Linked DNA regions of Mus musculus. The protein of the gene in region 2 purifies or fractionates together with the protein of the main gene of each other region. This does not show direct contact. Links are inferred from orthologs where the notes say so. Each region holds a gene or a part of one and is shown on either strand. Other genes may lie near its edges.

Region 1 (4,688 bases), on a different chromosome or scaffold from region 2:
AGGAAGGCAGCTAGGAACAATATAGAAACAACAAGCTTCTGAAGCAATAGAGCCAAGCAAGGCCTGTGCCTCAGGGCCAGAGCAAAGAGGGGCCTGTTTTGAGCAAGGGCTGGCAGACCCTAGACTGCTTTCTATTGCTGCAATAAAACACTGATCAAACCAACTTGGAAGAGGAAAGCGGTTACTTGGCTAATACTTCCACATCATATACCACAACTGAAGGACATCAGGGAAGGGACTCAAGCAGGAACCCAGAGGCAGAAACTGAAACAAAGACCACAGAGGAATGCTTCTTACTGAATTCTTCCCTATGGTTTACCTAACTTCCTTTCTTATACAGCCAGAACCACCTGCCCAGGGGTGGTACCACCCACAGTGAGGTGAGCCATCTTACATCAGTCATTAAGAACACGTCCACAGCCATGCCTACAGGCCTACTTGATGAAAGCAATTCCTCAACTAAGGTTCTCACTTGCCAGGCTTGTCATCTGACAAAAACTACAACTCAGGGCCTATGATAGAAAAGAAGAAGAGTGCCAATGACAATCAACTCACGACAGCAGTGTGGAAGCTAAGACCCAGAGAGGCCCTGCACACTGCTGCTTCACCCACAGCAGCTCATACCACAGCTCACTCCATTTCCTGCTCAGGATTCACTTGCTGCTAGGACTCAGTAGTTAGACCACACAGGGACTGAACCAGCAATGCCAGGGAAGCCAATGGAAATCATGGGCACACAGGAAGAGTTCAGCACACCAAGCATAAGGTAAGAACAGAAACCAGGGTAATGCACACGTAAGATGTGTAACTTCCCAAAGGGACTGCAGAGCAAGCTTGAACAGCAAAAGAAAGCCCAGGGCTCTCGGGGGAGACAGTAGAGCCCAAGCATGAGTTGTTGTCCACTTACTTCTGCCAAGATAAAGCAGGCAAGGCAACTACACAGCATCCTGCCGATCAACAGATAAGTTCACCTCTCACAGTGCCCAAGCATTCTTTACATGAAAATGATGAGGACTGCAATCTCTCTGCACTAGAATTTTAGATTGCCTAAGTTAGATAGCACTTCCTCACTCACTCATTACAATTATAAATTAATTCTCATTCTCTCTCTCTCTGAGGATTTCTTTCTGGGACTGGAGAGGTGTCTCAGTGTTGAGAGCATCTACTGTTCTTCTAGAGGACCTGGATTCAATTCCCAGGACCCACACAGCAGCTCCAACTGTCAGTAATTCCAGTTCCAGGGCATCTGACGTCCTCATACAGACACACATGCAGGCAAAACACCGATGCACATACTTTTTTTTTTTTTTTTGGTTTTTTAAGACAGGGCTTCTCTGTGTCACCCTGGCTGTCTTGGAACTCACTCTGTAGACCAGGCTGGCCTTGAACTCAGAAATCTACCACCTCTGCCTCCCAAGTGCTGGGATTAAAGGCATGTGCCACCACCGCCCGGCTCTTTTCAGTTTTAAACACACAGATGTGTAACATACCTTTAATCCCAGCACTTGGGAAGTCGAGGCAGGCAGATCTGAGTTTGAGGCCAGCATGGTCTACAGAGTGAGCTCCAGGAGAGACAGGGCTACACAGAGAAACCCTGTTTATAAAAACAAACAAAAAACAAAACAAAACAAAACAAACAAAAAGAAAGCAGGATTTGGGGCTGGAGAGATGGCTCAGAGGTTAAGGGCACTGACTGCTCTTCTGAAGGTCCTGAGTTCAATTCCCAGCAACCACATGGTGGCTCACAACTATTCTTTTTTTTTTTTTTTTTTTTAAGAATTATTTATTTAATGTATATATGAGTACACTGTAGCTGTCTTCAGACACACCAGATCCCATTACAGATGTTTGTGAGCCACCATGTGGTTGCTGGGAATTGAACTCAGGACCTCTGGAAGAACAGTCGGTGCTTTGTAACCGCTGAGCCATCTCTCCAGCCCCTCACAACCATTCTTAATGAGATCTGACTCCCTCTTCTGAAGTGTCTGAAGACAGCTACAGTGTACTTACATATATAATAAATAAATATTTAAGAGAAAGAAAGAAAGGAAGGAAGGAAGGAAGGAAGGAAGGAAGGAAGGAAGGAAGGAAGGAAGGAAGGAAGGAAGGAAGGAAGGAGAATTGTATAAACAAGGTCAACTATCTAATAAAACACAAGTTCTCTCTTGGTATAGCTGAAAGCAGACAGGTGTTCCCTTAGAGAGAAAGAAAACCCAAAACTACTACTACCAGCCAGAAGAGGATTGGTGTCTAGAAAGGTATGAGTTTGGTAATGGTGCAATGCATTTTAACTATGATGTCATTCAATAAATATACAATAAATAAAGAAAGCCCAGGGATAGGATTTCAGAGAGTAAGAGCAAGCCTAAAGGACAGATATAGTCTAAAGCATTGTATTTTCTCTTGAATATACAAGCATTAAAATGTAAGGGTTTCTCTTGCCCTCTCACTCCCTTCACAGTGTCTGCCAAAGAGCAAGCAGAGCAAGCAGACAAAGATGCAAAAGGGCACTTACTTTTTGGCAAATCTCCAGTACTAGAGGCTGAAACTGTCCTGCTTCTGTCATGGGAGGGACTGCTTTCCTCCTGCTCGGTAAGTGGCGATCCCTCTGAAATCACAGAGCCACAGGCCACAGGTTCTAAGGGCCCAGAAAACAACGGTGTGGGAAACTCTGAAGTCTTATGTTGTCCATTTGGCAATTCACCATTGAATTGTTCATAGGAGCTGCTATACGTGTAATCACTCTCTGCATTTGGCTCATCGAGGTTATACTCCTCGGGATTTGCACAGTCATCTTCATCGTCCTCTTCATCCTCCAGCTGCTGCTCCAGTGAGAACGGGCCATTTTCAATATGGCCATTGGCTTTCGGGGACTCCACCCAGGTAGGGTCTAAGTTTGCAAGTTCCTGTTCAACATCATCTTCATCCTTCTCCGCGTTCTCCTTCTCTGCATCTTCTTTCTCTTCCTGGTCTTCAACTTCACCTTAAAGAAGATGAGAGTAAGATCAAGAGTCATGGCTCTCCTTTCAAAGTAGTTCTAGTTAGGCCTCATACCAAGAGACCCGTTTTTTTATACTTTTCTAGTTGTTTTTTTTTTTTTGAGACAGGGTTTCTCTGTGTAGCTCTGGCTGTCCTCAAACTCAGAGATCTGGCGGTCTCTGCCTCCTAAGTGCCAGGATCAAAGGCCTGCACATGCACCACACCTGGCTAGGAGCCACTTCTAACGGACCTCAGAACATGTCTTTTGTTTGCCAAGGCAAGGGAGCTTTCTAAATCTTGTTTCTGCTCATTTAATAATGAGCCCTCTCATCAGGAACAAGTTAGCTCTGGGGGGTAGGGGGAATTACAAGTAAAACTGGACTTTCACTTCAAGCCCTTCTTTTTCTTTTTTGAAGATGTTTACTGTACCTGATCTTTAGTGTGTGAACCCCCTTACAGCTGGAGTTGTAAGTGGCTATGAACAGCCTGACACTGTTAGTACTGGGAACCAAGCTTGGTTCCTCTGCAAGACTACTGATCCATTTTTCCAGCCATTAACCCTTTCTTCTGCCATTTTAGAATAAGAGCTGTGCTGCATTAAAGTTAGGAAAAGGTTAATCACAAAATGAAGAAAGGGTCATCACAGCACTAACACGTTTCTCAGACATCCTCCTTCCCTCTCAAAGCCTACTTTGAGATGTTGGCATCCACCTGGCAGATATTTTGCTGCCCCCATCTCCACCGAGAAGCTCAAGAAAGCCGTCCTTAGTGCCAATGGCGGTGGCAGCTCAGATGCTCTAAGGCACTCTGTGGCTCAGAGATGAGCCCTGTGTGCAGCTCCCACACACCCAGCAGCCCTCCCTCCTGCTCCGAGCTGTACTGACCATTATCCTTTGCTGTCTCTTCCTCAGTTGTGTCCTCTAAGTCGGCTGCTTTCAGTGTCACCTCCGGCTGGTACTCTCCATCCTGCTGCTCCCCGGAAGCTTCTGCAGAGGTGATGTTCTCCTCTAGGATTTTCCTTTCGGCTTCTCGCTCCAATTCCTCAATCTCCTGTAGGCGTTTCTCCAGCAACTCAGCCTGTCTCTTCTGTTTCTTTTTCAGCTTTTTCTTTTTGTTTTTAGATATTTTTCCTATCTACAACATGGTAAGAAAGTGTGGGTCAGGTGGAAGTGTGATGCCATGGGTCAGAAAAGCACTCTTTAAAACACTATTCAGGAGTTCAAGTATTGGTAACATAGTGAATCCAACTGTGCTTTCCTACAACCTACACAGTTATGCTCACTAACCCAGCCAGAAGAGCCACCTTAGGGGAGGGCTGGGCTCAGACTGTTAGTACCCTCCCTAACTTCTAGGAGAAAAGTCTAGGAGATGAGCATGGTGAAACACCTGGCTTTGAGCGAGAATCTTCTCTTGCAAGCAATCCTTGCTGCTGACTATATCGGGTCATTTTTATTCCTTAACAATAAAAACAAACACCTGCCAAGACGGGTGCCAACAGCACTATATCTGAGTTTGGCTCTGATACCAAGCTGTGAACAACAGCCAATATACCATGAACTTTCAGAAATAAGCAGATAATATAAAAAAAAAAATCAAAATCAAAAAAAGGAAAAGCCACAGTTTTGTCAGCCTCAAGCTACAGCCATAAGTCTCAGAAAGCCTAGCAACGAGTGCCTGCCAAGCTTCAGAGGCCATAACCCAACCCCAAA
Region 2 (5,322 bases):
AAATAAAGCAGTGTACTACAGACCCCACCCTATCCCCCTCATATTTCTCCACCTCTCTCTCCTTTTTGGTTTTTCAAGACAAGGTTTCTCTGTGTAGCCCTGGCTGTTCTAGAACTCACTCTGTAGAGCAGATTGACTTCAATATCAAGAGATCTGCCTCTGGCTCCTGGGATAAAAGATATGTGCCATCATGCACAGCTCCGAACACCCCCCCCCCTTTTCTTTGGTAGACAGGGTTTTTCTGTGTAGCCCTGGCTGACCTCAAACTCAGAAATCCTCCTGTCTCTGCTCCCAAGTGCTGGGATTAAAGGCGTGCGCCACCGCTGCCTGGCTTCTGAACCCTTTCTTAAATAAGGACTTCAAGGACCATCCTGAGCAGCAGCATAAAGAGCCCCACATGGCAACTTTACAGCACACTCAGGCACATTCATCTAGACAACTCGTAACTCAAGATTCTGACATATAGGAATGCTATTCTTCTCATTTAACTTGCCTTGCTCCAGAATGAAGAAAGTAAAAGGGACTTTGGAATATCAAACATTAAGGTTCTCATTCAGTCTTATACAAACTGAATTTTTAGACTTCTGGTGCTTTTATTTCTCTAAAAATAGGGAATATGTGTGCATCACCATGTCTGGCTGCCATTTAATTTTTAATCCTTAGTCATAATCTACATTGGTTACATAAAATCAATATCCATCTTTAAAAAGTGTAACCACTACTATGTCCACAATAGCCATGTAGTTAAATGGGTAGAATGCTTGCCTAGCACTCCAAAGCCCTGTGTGTGATCCCTAGCACTGCACAAACCAGCCATTGTGGCACAGCCACTAATTCCAGCACTAGAAGCAAGGATTAGAAGTTAGAAAACAGGGACTAGAGAGATGGCTCGGTGATTAAGAGCACTGACTGCTTTTCCAGTAGGTCCTGAGTTCAATTCCCAGCAACCACATGGTGGCTTGCAACCATCTGTAATGGAATCTGATGTCCTCTTTTGGTGTGTCTGAAGAAGCTACAGTGTACTCATATATATAAAATAAATCTTAAAAAAAAAAAAAAAAAAGCTAGAAGATATCCTTGGCCAAACGTTGAGTCAGAGGCAACAAACTGAGACCCTATCTAAAAATAAATTAAAGGAGTAGGCCAGAGAGATGGTTTGGCAGTTAAGAGAACTTGCTATTTTTGCAGAGGACCTGGGTTTAATTCCCAGCACCTACAAGGTGGCTCACAACCATCTATAGGAGCAAACAGAGTGTACATATTATGTAGGCAAAACTCAAATATAAAGTAAATAAATATTTTTAAAAAGAAAATATTTTTAGTCTTTTTTTTTTTTGGTTTGGTTTTTCAAGATAGGGTTTCTCTGTGTAGCCCTGGCTGTCCTGGAACTCACTCTGTAGACCAGGCTGGCCTCAAACTCACTGAGATCCACCTGCCTCTGCCTCCCAGGTACTGGGATTAAAGATGTGAGCCACCACCTGTCTTAACTTTCAAGAGATGATGATGGGTTCTAAAAGTTGGGTTAAATTTCACACAAATCATGGCTTATAGGACTGATTCCCACAGCTTCTGAGGTTAGAAGCAGCATATCTAGAAACCCTCTTTGTGAATTCATAACTAATTCTCTTGTCCTAAATTTTTAATAATTTTATTTATTTATACTTCATATGTAAGTATAATATGTAATACCATATCCTGCCCACATGTCTCTGCACTAAACACACACAGCGTGTCAGTGAAGGCCAGAAGTGGGTGGCAGATCTCTTGGAACTGGAGTTACAGATAGATGGTCGTCTGTATCATGGGTGCTGGGAATCACTGCAGGTCCCCTGCAAGAACAGCCAGCGTTCTTAACCCCTGAGCCATCTCTCCAGCCCCTCCCACTCTAAATTTTAAGAGAGAACCCAAAATCAAACTAAACCCCTGGAGGGCTCTCCTGAGAAGTCGGCCCACACACATCTGGCTACCTATCCTTTTCCTGAGTCCCTCTTCCTACCAACCCTCAAGGTTTCCGTCTACATTTTTCAGCTGTTGATAAACTTAACCCCTGCTTAGAAACATCATCACACTAATCACCAACCAATCCCAAGTGAATCTTCCAAATGCATGGTATTATGTGACTTAATACAGTTATAAAAGATCACAAAGTAACGCAGCAACTTTCCTGCATGTTCTCCTTTAGTACTGCTACATACACAGTACTAAACATTATACGGATATATGTGGGTAGATGCCTTGAAGGCCAGAGGTATCAGATTCCCCTTGGAGTTGAACTTCCAGGTAGGTGAGAGCTGATTGAACTGGAATTGAACTCTGGTCCTCCTGCAACAGCAGTACGAGTGAGCTCTTATTCTCCCCATGTTCTCTCCAGTCTCTGAGTGTTTTCATCATTTTTTTAAAAAAATCTAATCAAAACCCTAATTATGCAAATTACAAGGAGATACAGAAGTCAGCTATCCTTGCAGCCTTACGGAGACAAGAGTATACCTAATTTTTCCCCCCACCAGTTTGAGACAGTCTCACTATGCAGACCAGGCTGGCCTCGAATTCACAAGAGATCTGTCTGTCCTGCCTTCCCAGTATTGGGAACTACAGGGATGCGTCACCAAGCCCCTCTATGACTAACCCATATTTAAACACAGTTTTAGTAGCTAAATCAAAGTGGGAGGGACTCCTCGAAAGCCTGTTTTGTTTGCCCTGTAGATGGGAATTTCTCGTATCTCAAAACCACCTCTATTGAAATCACTATATTTACCTGAAGTGTTGCTTATGCATGGTCTGATTCCACGGTCAAAGCTAAGGTGGCACGAATGCTATGGTTAAGGGTAAAATGCCACCTGGGCCAACCTACTCCACTCTGTGTCTTCAGTCTGTACCCTGTAGTCCAGATAGCCACTAACTCGTGATCCCCTCTGCCTCAGCTTCCTAAGTGCTGGGATGACAGGCATGTGCCAGGACTCCAGGACCCTAGCCCACTTTTAACTTGCCTTTCTCTACACCTCCTCCTGAGAGGCCTCGGGGCTGCCAGAGGCTGGCGTGACTCATCCCCCAACTTTAGAGCAGGTGCCTAGACCTCGGGTCCGCCGCCCAGGCCGGAACGGGCCTTCCTCCGTCCCCGACGGCTCCTGCGGCCTGGTCCCGCCCGGTCCGCCGTACCTGGGTTGGTGCTGGCCGCCGAGCGGTTGATGGTGCTCCGTCCTTTGTACTTGGGCTTCACCATCCTGACGACAGTACCGACACCGCTCTGCTACTCGCGAGGTAAACCACTTCACGACTTCCCAGCCGGGAAAGCGTCCTGTGTGAAGCACGTTGGACCCTGAACACGCGCGACGTCACTTCCGCTCGCGCTACGCGACTTCCTGAGAGCGCGCGGCGCTTGCCTAAGGCTGACCCGGCTCCGCCTCTGTCCTGCTCCCGCCTCCCCCGGGTCTAGCAACCGTCAAGCGTCCCTTCCATAGCAACGTCCAGGGCACCGGGCAGTCCTGGGTTTAGTGAGAAAAAGAGAGAAAGAGAAAAAGAGAGAAGCCTGTTCTCGGCCCAGTGCATGAGCTGATGGGAATTTGCCCTCTGAACCTTTCTAAAAGTGTTCCAGCAAGAGCGGGCAAATATCAGAACAGGTCATACCTGCCTTTAAATTTTAGGCTGGAGTAGAGCAGTTTTTAGTAACAACAGACTTTGGATTCAAGCCTCAGCTTGAAAGAAAGAGAGAGAGACAGAGAGACAGAGAGAGAGACAGAGAGAGAGAGAGAGAGAGAGAGAGAGAGACAGAGAGAGAGAGAGAGAGAGATTTTAAATTCTCCAATGGTTTATTATCGCAAAGAGAGACAGATTCAAACTCCTTCCAATCCCTACAAAACTTGTGATCTGGCTCCGTTCCTCTGACCTCATTTCTCCCTCTTCTGACATTTACACTGAATGTTGCTCTGTTTGATCACACATTCCCTGAATCGGCATCGCTGGTTCCTTCTGGTCAGTTCCTGCTCAAATATCCTCTATCCATAGGATTGCAAACACTAGCAAATTCATCAGCATGGTGACACACACCTATAATACCAATGCTCAAAAGGCAGAGGAAGGAGTTCCAGACTTGTCCACATTATATAGCATGACTTGTCTCCAAGAAGGTGGAGGAGTAGGAGTAGGAGCAGGAGGAGGGGGAGGAGGAGGAGGAGGGGGAAGCAGGAGGGGGGGAGGAGAACATCAAGAAAAAAAATACAAGACAGTGAAATTTGAATTTCAGGTTAAAAATAAATAAACACACTTTCTAGCTTATATTCCAATCATCGTTTAGGATAACTTAAAGGATCTAAGGAAACATGATATACTTGAGAGGCTAAGGCAGGAGGATTGTCACAAGTTCAAATCCAGCTTGAGCTACATAGAGAGACCCTACACCAAAAGATTTTTTTCACTGTTCACTTGTTTTTAAATGGAACTACATTCTCTTGATCTATCTGGCAGCAGCTCCTTTGGCAGAAGTATTTGCTGAGTTACTGATTTAAGTCAGCCACTCTCTTCCTGTTATTCCATCCCACCTCACTTCACGGCACATGCCACTACCCGAAATGACTCTGTTCACAAGAGCATTGGCTGCTTTCTTGGGTCTAGGCCATAAGCTTAGGAAAATGGAAATCAGGTACGTTATTCACCTCCGTGTCCCCAGAACGTAACAAAGCTGAGTGTGTTGGCATGAGCCTCTAACCTCAGCATTTGAGGTTAGACTATCTGCCGTGAGTTCAAGGCTAGTCTAGCCTGGGCTATATAGGAAGATACAAGCCAAACTGTAGAAAAAGACATTATCTTTTTGTTTGTTTGTTTGCTTGTGTTTTGAGATAGGGTTCCTTTTTGTAGCCCTAGCTGCCCTGGAACTCACTCTGTAGTCCATGCTGGCCTCCAGAGTGCTGGGATTAAAGTGTGTGCCACTTCCAGTGTGGCGGTGTGCCACCACAGCCCTCTGAGACATTATCTTGAGAGAGAGAGAGAGAGAGAGAGAGACTGTCACAAAGGTGCAGTTAAGTATGTAAAGGTCCCCTGGGCTTAAAAATTAAAAACACTTTGAACAGGCATCTGACATAAAATAAGGCCTTACTAAATCTTTCTTGGATGAATAAGGACAGAGGTGGGGGGGGGGTACCTCTTGTCTAAAGGGCCCCATGAGACCCAGGGAATTCTGTTTCCCAGATTTCAACCAAGTGCCTTTTCTGTTGGGACTTGAGTTGACAGGAGTGCCTATCTGTGTGCCTTCGAGAAGGACCAGAAAAATGCTGATTGAGTAAGATCCATGAGAAGTGTGGGGCCATTGGATCTGAGTTCATTTTGTAA

Evidence for each region.
Region 1: the proteins of Gnl2 (region 2) and Srpk2 purify together in Homo sapiens (affinity purification with mass spectrometry; 3 studies listed by BioGRID and IntAct, with this or other methods). This does not show direct contact. The link is inferred for Mus musculus from reciprocal best matches to the Homo sapiens genes GNL2 and SRPK2.

Annotation. Positions count from the first base shown.
Region 1 is NC_000071.6:23,521,633-23,526,320, forward strand, and holds part of Srpk2 (SRSF protein kinase 2), read right to left. Parts: intron 4,114-4,688; coding exon 3,864-4,113; intron 2,984-3,863; coding exon 2,516-2,983; intron 1-2,515. UniProt on the Homo sapiens protein: Serine/arginine-rich protein-specific kinase which specifically phosphorylates its substrates at serine residues located in regions rich in arginine/serine dipeptides, known as RS domains and is involved in the phosphorylation of SR splicing factors and the regulation of splicing.
Region 2 is NC_000070.6:125,028,029-125,033,350, reverse strand, and holds the start of Gnl2 (nucleolar GTP-binding protein 2), read right to left. Parts: upstream 3,338-5,322; 5' UTR 3,221-3,337; coding exon 3,157-3,220; intron 1-3,156. UniProt on the Homo sapiens protein: GTPase that associates with pre-60S ribosomal subunits in the nucleolus and is required for their nuclear export and maturation.